Lytechinus pictus: one gene and its partner. The protein of the gene in region 1 purifies or fractionates together with the protein of each later gene. This does not show direct contact. Links are inferred from orthologs where the notes say so. Each region holds a gene or a part of one and is shown on either strand. Other genes may lie near its edges. The genes, in order: NCK-interacting protein with SH3 domain-like and gem-associated protein 2-like.

The links.
Region 2: the proteins of NCK-interacting protein with SH3 domain-like (region 1) and gem-associated protein 2-like purify together in Homo sapiens (co-immunoprecipitation; 3 studies listed by BioGRID and IntAct, counting the BioPlex papers as one, with this or other methods). This does not show direct contact. The link is inferred for Lytechinus pictus from reciprocal best matches to the Homo sapiens genes NCKIPSD and GEMIN2.

Annotation. Positions count from the first base shown.
Region 1 is NC_087247.1:69,146,051-69,154,193, reverse strand, and holds the start of NCK-interacting protein with SH3 domain-like, read left to right. Parts: upstream 1-4,912; 5' UTR 4,913-5,157; coding exon 5,158-5,204; intron 5,205-8,143. UniProt on the Homo sapiens protein: Has an important role in stress fiber formation induced by active diaphanous protein homolog 1 (DRF1). Induces microspike formation, in vivo. In vitro, stimulates N-WASP-induced ARP2/3 complex activation in the absence of CDC42.
Region 2 is NC_087247.1:36,677,360-36,684,734, reverse strand, and holds the start of gem-associated protein 2-like, read left to right. Parts: upstream 1-4,122; 5' UTR 4,123-4,175; coding exon 4,176-4,291; intron 4,292-7,375. UniProt on the Homo sapiens protein: The SMN complex catalyzes the assembly of small nuclear ribonucleoproteins (snRNPs), the building blocks of the spliceosome, and thereby plays an important role in the splicing of cellular pre-mRNAs.

The DNA of each region.
Region 1 (8,143 bases):
ACACCAATTTAAGACAAATAAATACCTAAAGAAAATTATCTGATTCAATAAAACAAAAATATACTTTTGTAGAATTTGAATAATCTTGCTAAAAAAAAATGTTTCTATATAAGCCCAACATTAAATCAAAATAAGGCATGTGATTAATTCCAGTTAAGAATCAAATATATGGGTTTGATAAAAAAAATGATTGCTTTTTTTAATCGAATTCATTTGTGTATAAGAAAACACTCGAGTATAAATAAAATACTGGAATTTGTGTATATGCCTTTTACAGTATATAAAGAAATAGATCAGTTTGGATACATAATTTATCTAAAAATTGATAAAATGCTATTTGAACTTAGAATTTGGCTATCATAGTAAATATCTATCGTTTTTGTATGAAATTAATTGAATAGAACTTATTAATACATTTGGCAAGATTATTCCATAGATCAATCTGATACAAAATTATTTAATAAACAAAAATTGCATAAATGTAAAGTTAAGGGAATTTAATGATCACAGAAATCATTTTTATATTTTTCAACAAATTTAAAATCTGTGACAAAATTTAATGAAAATTGTTAGTGTTCTCACCATCAGGGAAATAAATTGTCCAAAAGTTCCAAATAAAGTTTGAGTTTGAGAGAAGAATGTAGTCTGGTGGTAAAATGGAGACATCAAGTTCAAGTTGTTGAATATCGGACCTTCTTAGGGGGCGAAAAGTTTTCACTGTATGCATGAAGACCAGGGGAACAGCATCATCCACTCATGGGCTGGAGCAACTGAAGAGCAAAAGGTGGCGGCTGGCTTCGAAGATCAAAGCAGAGCGTCATCAACTCTAGATGCGTAGGCGACAGAGTAACAGGCGAGAGGCTGGAAGGTGTCATGCATCGAGCGAAGATAAAGGGACAAAGCAACATGAAGACCAAAAGGCAGCATCATTCACTCGACGAAGAGAAGCAAGGCGAGAGGCTGGAAGGCATCATGAGGCAAAGGTGGGAGACTGTTGAGCCGAAGAGACTGAATGAAGAAAAATAGGCAGCGACATCATCCACTCCATGTAGTCGGGCAATGGTTGTAGTTAAAGGCGAGAGGCTGACTCGCAGGCAGAACTTTCATCTACTCACGTTGAGAAAAAGGCGAAGGTTGGCTGGTAATCAGGCAGAACGTTTATCCACTCACAAAGAGCAATAGGCGAAGATCCGAGCTGGTACTCAGGCAAGGCTTTCATCCACTCAGGTATAGAGCTAAAGGCGAAGACTGGCTGGTAGTAGCATCATCCTACTAGACAAGCCACAGCATTGACGTTGAAGTTATAGGCGAGCTGCTGGCTAGCATCAATCAGGCAAGAAGTAACGGCTGAACAGAAGTACATGTATGAAGGGCTAAATGTTTCTCCAACAGGAACATGATGACGATAAAGTTGACGAAATATGATTGAAAGTTTGTGGCGAACAGATAAGCGAGGCATAAGGTTCGAAGCACCGCTGCCACCAGTTGTAGGGTTGAAGAAAATTATATGTTTGGAGTTGAAAATAAATGGAAGTTCTAAATCATCAAACTGAAGGGGAATGAAGCAGACGCAAAATGAAGATAACTTAAACCGAAGGAGTCTGGTTGTACACTGTTTAATATCTGGGCTATTTTGCCTCAGCTTAACTTTGGATCACAGTATAATTTACATAAATATTTAAATTAGAAATAACAACCAATCAAACTAAAGAAAATGGAAGGATCGAACTAAAATGTAAGAACCCAATTCATAAGATAAACCAATAAGGAATGAGATGAGATGACAAAGATGTCTGGTGATTATGTAATAATGGAAGTAGAAACTAAGGAGTCAGGTGAGGGATGGAATGAGTGGAACACCTGAAGAGAGAATAGAGAAGGAATGAAGATGACAAGAGAAACACAGGAAAGGCATTCAGAGTAGAATGAATGAATGACAACTGAATATCATTAAACTCAAATAACCTAAGTCCAGACTGCAAGGGCAGTACTGAAAAGAAATGCAAATGAACTAAAGTCTAGACAGAACAGAAATGTAAAACACCTGAAGAAAACACAAGTCAAAGGAAATAAACAAAATAGGTAAATGACAAATTAACAATCCTACACAAGTATTAGTTAACATCTTGCCTGAGTTTCAGGTCACATGACCAAGGTCAAAGGTCATTTAGGGTCAATGAACTTAGACCATGTTGGGAAAATTATTTTCAAAATCTTAACCGAAGGTTAAGTTTTTGAAATGACATCATAACTTAAGAAAGTATATGGACCTAGTTCATGAAACTTGGGCATAAGGTTAATCGAGTATTAGTGAACATCCTGCTCGAGTTTCAGGTCACGTGACCAAGGTCAAAGGTCATTTAGGGTCAATGAACTTTGGTCAAGTTGGGGGTATTTGTTGAATTACTATCATAACTTTTAAAATTTATGGATCTAGTCCATGAAACTTGGACATAAGGTTAATCAAGTATTAGTAAACATCCTGCCTGAGTTTCAGGTCACATGACCAAGGTCAAAGGTCATTTAGGGTCAATGAACTTTGGCCAAGTTGGGGGTATTTGTTGAATTACCATCATAACTTTGAAAATTTATGGATCTAGTTCATGAAACTTGGACATAAGAGTAATCAAGTATCACTGAACATCCTGTACGAGTTTCAGGTCACATGACCATGGTCAAAGGTCATTAAAGGTCAATGAACTTTGGCCGTGTTGGGGGTATTTGTTCAATTACCATCCTAACTCTGAAAGTTTATGAATCTAGTTCATAAAACTTGGGATATAAGAGTAATCAAGCATCACTGAACATCCCCTGTGAGTTTCAGGTCACAAAACCAAGTCAAAGGTCAGTTAAGGTCAATAAACTTAGGCCATGTTGGGGTAATTGTTGAATTGCCATCATAACTTTGAAAGTTTATGGATAGAGTGAATGAAATGTGGACATGGGTGTAGTTGACAGTCTTAAGTCTCCATTCAAATGTAATTTATGGTCAATGAACATGGTATTATGTCATTATACAGTATGAATGGTGTTTTTTTTTAATGATTATTTTATAGTAGTTTTCAAAGTTAGCACTGCTGCTATATTAAATTGCGTAATGCAGGCGAGACTGCCAGAGGCGTTCCACTTGTTAAATCTCTATTTTTGTCTCGCCCACCGGAGGTGAAGGCGAGACTTAGGGATCCAAATGTCGTCCGTCGTCCGTCCGTCACAAACTTAATGACACATAACTCCACAACCGTAAGTCGATTTTCAACCAAACTTGGATGGTAGATGGACTTGGGGGACCTGCATGTTATGCTGCAGTCGGAGGTCACATGGTAAGGTCAAAGGTCATTTTCAGGTCAACGTTAAAGTTTACATGCAAGACTCTCTTATGACACCTAACTCCGCAACCGTAAGTCGCTTTTCAACCAAACTTGGATGGTAGATGGACTTGGGGGACCTGCATGTTATGCTGCAGTCGGAGGTCACATGGTAAGGTCAAAGGTCATTTTCAGGTCAACGTTAAAGTTTACATGCAAGACTCTCTTATGACACCTAACTCCGCAACCGTAAGTCGCTTTTCAACCAAACTTGGATGGTAGATGGACTTGGGGGACCTGCATGTTATGCTGAAGTTATAGGTCACATGGTAAGGTCAAAGGTCATTTTCAGGTCAACGTTAAGTTTACATGCAAGACTCTCTTATGATACCTAACTCCGCAACCGTAAGTCGCATTTTAACCAAACTTGGATGGTAGATGGACTTGGGGGACCTGCATGTTATGCTGCAGTCAGAAATCACATGGTAAGGTCAAAGGTCATTTTCAGGTCAACGTTAAAGTTTACATGCAAGACTCTCTTATGACACCTAACTCCGCAACCGAAAGTCACTTTTCAACCAAACTTGGATGGTAGATGGACTTGGGGGACCTGCATGTTATGCTGCAGTCGGAGGTCACATGATAATGTCAAAGGTCATTTTCAGGTCAACATTAAAGTTTACATGCAAGACTCTCTTATGACACCTAACTCTGCAACCGTAAGTCGCATTTTAACCAAACTTGGATGGTAGATGGACTTGGGGGACCTACATGTTATGCTGCAGTCGGAGGTCACATGGTAAGGTCAAAGGTCATTTTCAGGTCAACGTTAAAAGTTTACATGCAAGACTCTCTTATGACACCTAACTACCCAACCATAAGTCACTTTTCAACCAAACTTGGATGGTAGATGGACTTGGGGGACCTGCATGTTATGCTGCAGTCAGAGGTCACATGGTAAGGTCAAAGGTCATTTTCAGGTCAACGTTAAAGTTTACATGCAAGACTCTCTTATGACACCTAACTCCGCAACCGTAAGTCGCTTTTCAACCAAACTTGGATGGTAGATGGACTTGGGGGACCTGCATGTTATGCTGAAGTTATAGGTCACATGGTAAGGTCAAAGGTCATTTTCAGGTCAACGTTAAGTTTACATGCAAGACTCTCTTATGATACCTAACTCCGCAACCGTAAGTCGCATTTTAACCAAACTTGGATGGTAGATGGACTTGGGGGACCTGCATGTTATGCTGCAGTCAGAAATCACATGGTAAGGTCAAAGGTCATTTTCAGGTCAACGTTAAAGTTTACATGCAAGACTCTCTTATGACACCTAACTCCGCAACCGAAAGTCACTTTTCAACCAAACTTGGATGGTAGATGGACTTGGGGGACCTGCATGTTATGCTGCAGTCGGAGGTCACATGATAATGTCAAAGGTCATTTTCAGGGCAACATTAAAGTTTACATGCAAGACTCTCTTATGACACCTAACTCTGCAACCGTAAGTCGCATTTTAACCAAACTTGGATGGTAGATGGACTTGGGGGACCTACATGTTATGCTGCAGTCGGAGGTCACATGGTAAGGTCAAAGGTCATTTTCAGGTCAACGTTAAAAGTTTACATGCAAGACTCTCTTATGACACCTAACTACCCAACCATAAGTCACTTTTCAACCAAACTTGGATGGTAGATGGACTTGGGGGACCTGCATGTTATGCTGCAGTCAGAGGTCACATGGTAAGGTCAAAGGTCATTTTCAGGTCAACGTTATAGTTTACATGCAAGACTCTCTTATGACACCTAACTCCGCATCTGTAAGTCGCTTTTCAACCAAACTTGGATGGTAGATGGACTTGGGGGACCTGCATGTTATGCTGCAGTCGGAGGTCACATGGTAAGGTCATTTTCAGGTCAACATTAAAGTTTACGTGTAAGGCTCTTATGACAAGTGTTATTCCATCCCAGTCATTTCACAATGCAGTTTCGATATAATTCTCTTGCGTGCCCTCGCAAATCACGATATTTCTGGTCATTTTCATAAGTGGGCGAGACACAAAATTGCTTTTGCCTTGTTAATTTAGAAAAAATAATTAAAAGACTTCAATTTAATTAAAGAACCAAGTTATATGATGAATGGTTGTAATGGAAACTGACAGTGTTAAAAAAAATCAAGCATTTGTCCCCCCAAAACAAGAGAAAATAAGCCAATCATTGCCAACATTATTTCACCACACAGGGAATAGTAACAGAGAACAGGGTTATAATAACCTTGTTCATTGAATGAGTGGTGTGAGGTTAGTATATGGTAGTGAGTCCAAACTTCATGTGTGTCCATCTAAAAAACTATTGAATATCCAAAAAATCTGACATCAACATGAAAAGCAACCTAAAATTACACTCTAGCGAAAGTTTCTTAAGGATGAGTTCATTATTCTTGAAAGGATTGACAAAAGATCAGCAAATTTTTCACCATCATCGGCACCCATTCCAAAAAAATCTTAACCTCCCAACAGGCATCACGATATCATCTTTTTGCAAGCAGATACCATAAAAAATGGAAAACATACTGACCGATTCTATAGCATTTTGCTGTACATCTGATATAAATATCTCATTTTTTTTAGCTCGATTTTTTTGTTTAAATCTCAACAAAACTTTGGACCGCGAAGTTAGGTCACACTTTTTCTGAACGGATTTCCAGCACAGCGCGCATTCATCGATCGGAATAGAATTTTGAGATCGCAATAAGGGCAAAACCCCTTGACCTACTTAACATTTTTGTCACTGATTTTATAGTTTATGATCTTGCCGTCAATGTGGTAGCTTTTTGTCTCGCCAGAGCGAGACTATAGGCGCCGCTTTTCCGACGGCGGCGGCGTCAACATTGAAATCTTTACCTTGGTTAAGTTTTTGAAATGCCATCATAACTTAATGGACCTAGTTCATGAAACATCCTGCCTGAGTTTCAGGTCACATGACCGAGGTCAAAGGTCATTTAGGGTCAATGAACTTAGACCATGTTGGGGGAATCAATATCGAAATCCTAACCTAGGTTATGTTTTTGAAATGTTGTCATTACTTCAAAAGTGTATAGACCTAGTTCATAAAACTATAAGGGTAATAGTGTATCACTGAATATCCTGCCTGAGTTTCATGTCACATGATTAAGGTCAAAGGTCACTTAGGGTCAACAAACTTTGGCCATGTTAGGGTTATTTGAGGAATTGTCATAACTTTAGAAGTTTATGGATCTAGTTCATGAAACTTGGACATAAGAGCAACCATGTATTCCTGAATATCATGCGCGAGTTTCAGGTCACATGACCAAGGTCAAAGGTCACTTAGGGTCAATGAACTATGGCCATGTTGGGGGAATCAATATCGAAATCCTAACCTAGGTTAAGTTTTTGAAATGTTGTCATAACTTCAAAAGTGTATAGACCTAGTTCATAAAACTATAAGGGTAATAGTGTATCACTGAATATCCTGCCTGAGTTTCATGTCACATGATTAAGGTCAAAGGTCACTTAGGGTCAGCAAACTTTGGCCATGTTAGGGTTATTTGAGGAATTGTCATAACTTTAGAAGTTTATGGATCTAGTTCATGAAACTTGGACATAAGAGCAACCATGTATTCCTGAATATCATGCGCGAGTTTCAGGTCACATGACCAAGGTCAAAGGTCACTTAGGGTCAATGAACTATGGCCATGTTGGGGGAATCAATATCGAAATCCTAACCTAGGTTATGTTTTTGAAATGTTGTCATAACTTCAAAAGTGTATAGACCTAGTTCATAAAACTATAAGGGTAATAGTGTATCACTGAATATCCTGCCTGAGTTTCATGTCACATGATTAAGGTCAAAGGTCACTTAGGGTCAACAAACTTTGGCCATGTTAGGGTTATTTGAGGAATTGTCATAACTTTAGAAGTTTATGGATCTAGTTCATGAAACTTGGACATAAGAGCAACCATGTATTCCTGAATATCATGCGCAAGTTTCAGGTCACATGACCAAGGTCAAAGGTCACTTAGGGTCAGTGAACTATGGCCATATTGGGGGTATTTGAGGAATTGTCATAACTTTGAAATTTTATGGATCTAGTTCATGAAACTTGGACATAAGAGCAATCAAGAATCTTTGGACATCCTGTGCTAGATTCAGGTCACATGATCAAGGTCAAAGGTCATTAAGGATCAGCAAACTTCGGTAATGTTAGTTGTCATCATAACTTTAAAAGTCTATGGATTTAGTTCATGAAACTTGGATATAAGAGCAGCAATGTATCTCTGAATACCCTGTGTGTGTTTCAGGAACATGCCAAGATCAAAGGTCATTTAATGGTCAATGAACTCTGGCCGTGTTGGGGGTATGTGTTGAATTGGCATTATAACTTAGGAAGTTTATGGTACTTGCTCATGAAACATCGACATAAGGGTAATCAAGTATGAATGATTGTTTTGCACATGTCTTAGGTCACATGATCATGGTCAAAGGTCATTCTGGGTCAATGGACATAATATTTTATTATATTAGTGTTTTCTTCTGTGAATAATTATTCATTAGCTGTTTTTCAAAGGAAGCACTGCTGCTATATCGAATTGCGTAATGCAGGCGAGACTGCCAGAGGCGTTCCACTTGTTTTGAAATTGGTTTTGTATAAATTGTGAATATTTTGTGAACAAATTTAAGCATGATGAATATTCTTTAAATGTTCGCAAAGTTTGGACACCCCATCATACTAATACTAACCTCGCACGAGTGTGAGTGCCCACTCGCTTAACTTAAATTTATGTTTACGATGCTGTACTGTAGCCTGTAGGCATTAGT
Region 2 (7,375 bases), about 32 Mb from region 1:
TGTCTGATTTTTCTTTATCTGTTTAAATCATATTATGCTCAGCCCGGAGCATTCATTTAAAGATGCAAAAAGGGGCTAAATTGTCATGTTTGGGGTTGTATTTTTGTACGAGGACGAATATGTTGAGGTAAAAACTGCAGACTTGTCCAATTACGTGAACGAAAAAAGACTCTGTCCATTTCCCCAGTGATTCCCATTCTAACGAACTGATCATTTACATAATAGTAGGGGCCTTGGAGTCACCCCCATGTTGTCACAAAAGTTCTATATTTTTTATTCATTCATTGTATTTCATTGTACAATGATATTTATATTGTAATAGTAGTAGTAGGAAAATAAGAAATAGTAGTAGGAAAATAAGAAATAATTGTTCATTATAATGTTATCATTTTATATACTATATTATGATTACGTTATGTTATATTACATAATATTATAAGAATCATTTTTTTCATAACTTTATGAAACATAATTTGCTCAGGGCCCATATTATTCCTGGTGCTCGCATTGTCTGTTTAACGAGATATACATGTATAATCCTGTTGTACTAAAACCTCCCGTTTTCAAGTCAATATTCACCAAATATATTTCCTCGCAATTCGAGTTATTATCGTTTTATGTAGTGACATATGCTTCTTTTTCATGACTTCATAAAGTGATTGCCTCATTTTAAGGTCTTGATATAAAACATTTCCTGTCCGTGCTTACGTTCACATTAGTGGATTGGTGAGGTATGTCTGCTCTTTGTGAATTCCTAAAATCAGTCCTTAAAAAAAATATTTGATTAGTACATGATTACAGTGACGACAAGTGCTTCATGTGTTCAGATGTAATTCTAACAAAATCAGCAAGCGCTTGGCACTCGCATTTATTTATTGATTTATTAGATGGCTATGCTGAGATATGTATACTCTTAATGGGTTCCTAAAATATAGTCCTTAAAATGTCCTTGTTTGGGGTCAATATATACAAAAATTCAGCTCGCGCTTCGCGCTCGCATTGTTTGTTTTGCGAAACAGGTACGCATCATGATTACACAAATTTGCTTATAATGTCCCTTTTCAGGTCTAAATACTAAAAATGTTCAGCTCGCGCTACGCGCTCGCATTGTTTGATCAGTGAGATGCATATCCGTTTAATGGCACTGTCCTTAACCTGGTAACTGAGCGCTTCGCGCGCTCACTAAGTGACTCAAATTTTTTGCTGGTGCCCCCCCCCCCAATGCCATGACCCAAGGTCGCAACTGGTTCAGCGTTATGCATGCATGAGAGTTTATTGGAAGAATCAACACAATTATTTTTAACATATTCGATTTTGTTAATTTCAAACAAATTAGAATATAATGGATTTGGAATGTAGACTTTGATGTTTTTCATCAAGCGATAATTAATTCTTCAAATGAATAAAATTTGAAATTAATTATGATTGCAATAGTGATTTCATTGGTTTGAGAACAGCCAGTTGCTTTGTCGTGTTCCTACCTTTTCTTTTCAATTTGTGCCCATGAAGAGAATGACTGAAATAAACTTTGTAAAAGCTAATTGAATACGCTCTCTTGTAATGATAATTATATTTCAGACCTGTAGCTTGGAGGGGGGGGGGGGGGATTCCGGGGATTCCGCGGAACCCTGCCATTTGCCAACACACACACACACACACACAAATCTGGAAGAAACCGGGAAGTGAAGAAGGAAGGAGATGCAAGAGAAGAAGGAAAGGGAAAATGATAAGAAAATGAAGAACAGCGAATGGAACATTTTTTGAAGAAAAAAAACTTAGGTCATTATATGAAACGAAAAAAAAATCGCTTGCTTTGCGATAACGTAGCCTTGAATGAGATAATAATCTAATCAAGAGGACAACTCGCCCACCATTCGAGTCTCTTTACCTCGTTTCAGCGAAATACGGATCCTGTCCATGGTTACAATAAAGAGCTGAATATCAAACATTTCAGCTCGCGCTACGCGCTTGCACTATTTGACTATAGCGAGATGCATATCATATTCCTGAATTACAACAACCAATCGATCCTTGAAATGGTCCCATTTCAGGTCAGTAGGCCTATATCAAAAATCTCAACACTTTGCATTCATAATAATTGTTTATTTAGAAATGCATCCAGTTCATTATTACAAAGGTGCCTTAGAATGTCTCGATTTTAGGACTTATAATCACCCCCCCCCCCCAAAAAAAAAAAAAAAAATCAACTCGAGCTTCGCGCTCCCATCAGATATAGTAACATCGATGTCATCTTCAACATTTCCATTTCTGGTCAGTATATGAAAAAAATCAACTCATACTCCCATTTATTTGTGTATTGAGATACTGTTCGTTCTTTATATATCAAAGCGTGCTTATATCCAGTTTTCGGATTAGAATGTCAACATTTTTCAGCATGCGCTTCTCGCTCTCATCCTTTCTATAGCAAGGCATTCTTTTCATGGGTACAAAAAGTGAATAGAATGTCCCATTTTAGGTCTAAACCTCAAAAAGCTAGCGATTTGCGTTTGCAATAAGTGTTTATCATGTTTATGGGATATATTAATTGTTCTTTATTAAAAACGTGCTCCATGACCAGAGTTTTCAGCTACCGCTTCTCGCTCACATATATTTAGATGAAATATCGATCCTGTTAACCAACACGAAGAGTGCGTACTATGTTCCGTTTTTTTTCGCCAAAATGAAAAAAAACCGAGAAAAATACAAAGCGGCGTCATTGCTTTTATATTCCATTAACGACGACGAGTAAAACTAATGAGAGCCAACTGCAGTACCAAGTATAATGAGCATTACAACTTTTCGAGATACGTTATCTAGCTCTAAATATGCAAATATAATCATTATCTAGGTTTTTTATATTTCATTAACATATAAATTAATAAGAAAATATAAAGCGCTTGTTATGTAAAAGATAAAGTATATTACTAGTATCTGATAGAAATTCCTGGTAAATTCTTAATGAGGTGAGAAATTCAACAGTATGGGATACTCCCACATGAAGAGCTATTTTTCAACTCAAATAAACATTCGTTTTCTTCTATTTTCACAAAATATCATTTTTCAATATAAGGAAAGGAGAGAGCACAAATTTTCAGTACTTGAAAGGCCGGTGTCCAATCATGTACTCCACTCTCCCCCCCCCCCCCTCCAAAAATGGAAATAGCAACATGTTGCAAATGAAAAAAAAGATGAGGGCAGAAATGAAAAAAAAAATGTGAATAATCTCTAAATCATTCAGACATAGCATGTAGCATTCCAAAGCCTGAACAAAATTTCATTCACATTGATGTAATCGTAAGGATTTTGGGATTTTTTTTCTTTCTTTAAACCTCTTACGAGGGACTTTATTTACATATCTATAATACAATATACAAATCACAAAATAAATACAAAAATCAATGCAATCAATCAATTAATGTATTCTAACAATCTTTCAATTTATTTTGTATTCTTATTCGTATAACGTTAGTGTCCAATGAATAAAATACTCTTTAAATTGCATCTCAGTTACGTAACGTGGTAAACAGAAAACCATGTCTGACGTTATCAAACGCCTTTTGAAAGTCTATGAACATTAAAACACCTGATTAATTCATTTTAGAATAATCAATAACATCTGGTACAATAAGTTGCACATTCTCTAAAGCCGACCTATGTTTCCTAAATCCCGATGGATCATTCGAAATAATATGAGGTATAATTTGTTTCACTCTCTTTACCAAGACGCCTGTAGCTATTTTATAATCAATGTTAACTGAGTAATGATATTGGTCTCCAATTTTCTAATAAAATTAAGCTTTCCCCGCCCTTTTATGTAATAATGTTAGCACAGCTTGAATGATTGGTAGTGCGATATGGTGTGTAATCCCGTAGGATTTTTTTGCCAAAATTGATTTTTTGATGGGGTTCAAATTTTCAGACCCCTTCTTCCCTTCGTGGGGGTCCTTTCTTAAGCTAGCGCTAAGTAAAGTAAACCATCGCCAATTTATTATAACATTTACCACAAGAAGGGATCTCCAGTCGTTCTTAAAGTCGCTCTTAACTTACGAACAGCTTTATGAAACACCCACCGGGTAGGTGTAGTACCGTACTATACTACCGTACCGTACGAGCAACTTTCGATTTGAATTGAGCATGTCGAGGGTAGAACTAGAAGCACTATAACGCCCGGGATCATGGATGAACTACTTCCTCAAGCTTTACCAATTGGAGGTCCAGAAGTTTCAGGTGATCTCGAAGAAGACAATAATAGGGCACCAGCCACTGCTGAAGAATATCTACAACGGGTTAGGTAAGGACATTTTGAGAAAAAATATCACTAAAAAAGAGCTGCTGCTGGGCAAATGCGCCGCTTGTCCCACGTATTTATTATTGTGTAAGTTCACTGTAAGTGAATCTGAGCTGTGCAAAAAAAAGCTAATTTTTTATTCGGCCAACCCAGTCGAAAAGTAGTGCTAAATTGACTTCGTATCCAGCCCAAAATGCACATTTTAATTAATGAATTATAGGCCTAACTCAAATTTGGCCCAGATTTTCTTCTTAACGTCAGAATTTACATCGATGTTTGCGTCAGACGACTAACGTCAACGACTTTTACTTGTTACTGACTCGAGGATGAGGTCAATGTAGTTGAATTGATCAAAATGTATTGTTAGTCTTTATTCTTAGACTGATACTATTCATTTATTGATAAATCTGCTGTTTCGGAGCCGGAGGAGTTTTTCAACATTTTCTGATTTTTTTTTGTCCTCCACGCCACTCTAACTCTAAGCACCAAGGCTATTAATTCCTGTGTTAAAAAAGTGAGTGCACGCGAATTAAATGTTGGACTTAAATTACTAGATCTTACCATGGAGCTCCATGACAAAATCTGTTCTTAAATTAGACTCTAGATATTACTAAATTGAAAAAATGTATAAATAGTACTCGCCTGGTCTTTTCTTGGGGTATTGAAGCCTTTTTGTCCAGAACTTGCTCAACTTTTGCGGCAAATTTTGTCGCCATAGGGTTGTGCACATTCTCGTTTAATACTGGTTGTCACGTGACACGGCAATGTCGTTAGGCTGTTTGGCCTGTATTCAAGGCGTTCTATCCGTTATGATTTTATATTGAATGAAGCTAATTCCATCAGGTATAGGCCCCTATCAAGTCAAAATCGATACAGGGATCGAGAGGTGGGGGGTGGAGCCAAAAATTTCCCAGTCACATGGTATGAAAATGATATTTTTTATGACTGTCCACGATCATTAGGGCAAACCCGTGTGTGGCAGTACGGTAGCGTGATGAGTAAAAAAAAAAGAAAAGAAAAGAAAGAAAGAGGGCCAATGTAGGCATACATGGCGCGTGGGAATAAAGTTGCTTTATATGTTCCAAGCGAGTGAAGCAAGCGAGAAAAAAACTTTTCGTGCAAATCTAAATTTGAGATAGATATCTTAACTTACACTTTTCCTTTTCTTTTCATTAATTCCCTTCATTTCTTTTTTATCTTGGTTGTTGAACTTTCGGGGGCCCCTAGGCCTAACCCTTCCATCGTGTACCCCCAGTGCAATATTAGCAGGTGGGTCTCGATAACTCTGGATATTTAGCAATTAGACCTATTTATAGAAAAACATAACGTTAATGTTTTGACCCCTTCCCCCCAAAAAAAAAGGAAAAACAATTATAAACTAAGTTATATACATCCCCCTTTTCTCATTTCGCTTTTTATTTTCTCTATTCCCTCCTTATTTTTTTTTGGGGGGGAGGGACCTTTTCGGGGGGCACCGCCCCTAGCTACGCGCCTACCAGATGAAGAGGCGAGCGAGCAAAACCTTTGTCACTTTTATTACAAATATCAATTTTGCAATAGATTTTGACATAACATTCGGAATTATTCTCGCATGCATTTTTCTTTCCTTTTGCTTTTTTATGGCCTTTTATTTCTCTTCCCTTTCTCTTTCTGTCTTTCTTTCTTTCTTTTCCTTCCTTCATTCCTTTTCTCTTATCCCGTTTTTTTTTGGGTGAAATCCACTGGACCGGGGATCAAGGGCCAGCCTGCATGCCCCCGGCGGTTTACGCCTCTGCCGTGGATGTAAGCTATATATACGCATGATCTTAATCTTCATTATGATTCAAACTATATAGAGGCGCATCCAAGATTTTCCAAATTAAGTAGGGGGGGGGGGGCGGGGTGAATTTTCTCAAGTAAAATTTGACAACTCCCAAAAAAGGTTCTTACTAAAAAAAAAAAAAACGGTCATTATATTGTCTCGCGTAAAGTTTGACAAGTTAAAAAAAAATGGTCACTCAAAATGAAAGTCATTTTGTCCGCGTAATATTCGGCAAGCCCCCCCCCCCCACAAAAATAAGAAAAGGGAAAGTCATTTTGTCCACGTGATATTTGGCAACCCCCCCCCCCAAAAAAAAAAAAAAAAAAAAAAAAAAAAAAAAGGTTTTAACTATAGCAATGATCGAAGGTCATTTTGTCTCGCGTAAAATTTGACAATTTTTTTATAACGTTGTCACTAAAAAGAAGGTCATTTTTTCCACCATTTATTATATTTGGCAAGCCCCCAACCCCCACCCCCATAAAAAAAAGTTTGTCCCTAAAAGTGATGTATAGAAAGTCATATTGTTAATTTGTTCCCAGTAAAATTTTGAATTTGGCAATTAAAAAAAAAGGCAAAAAAGAGAAAAGAATATGAACGAAATATCCCCATTACAAATAATGCTGTACGTGATTCTCATGAGGGGGGGGGGCACTTAACTAGTATTAATAACATATTTAATTCCAAAATGTTTACTATAAATCTCAAAAGGGGGAACGGGCAGAAATGCTCACCCCAACCCCCCCCCTCCCCCCCCCCCCCCCCGCCACTGATTCCAATCAATAATGACTTTTCTCTGCAATACTGATGCTTTGAAATCAAGATACTGAAGATTGATACGCTTAACATAAATTATGAACGTCTGACAAAAAGATAACCAACCGATCACCTGACCGATCAGCTGACCAGTACGCGTATCACTTCGGAGTTGATCACTCGTCGCAGCTGTGTGGAACGCTCACCGAAAATCAACAAAAAGGGCCTGAAATGTAAGTTTAACAATAATCGATTTTAATTTCAACTATTTTTACAACTAAATAAAGGTTTGCCGTCCGAATGAAAGGTATATCGGATAACTCTAACTTGTATTAAGGTGTACAATACCAAAGTCTTGGGTTGGAAATCAGAACAGCATTGTCCAACCCATAATTTGGGTAATGTCGCCTATGAGGTCCATACATGTTAATGTTTGGACCTCATTGGTACTAGGAGTGCTCCACGCCACCTACACAGTCACAGATGGATGATGGCCATTGGGCTCGTAGTGATGGAGCTCCACCAACGCCTTA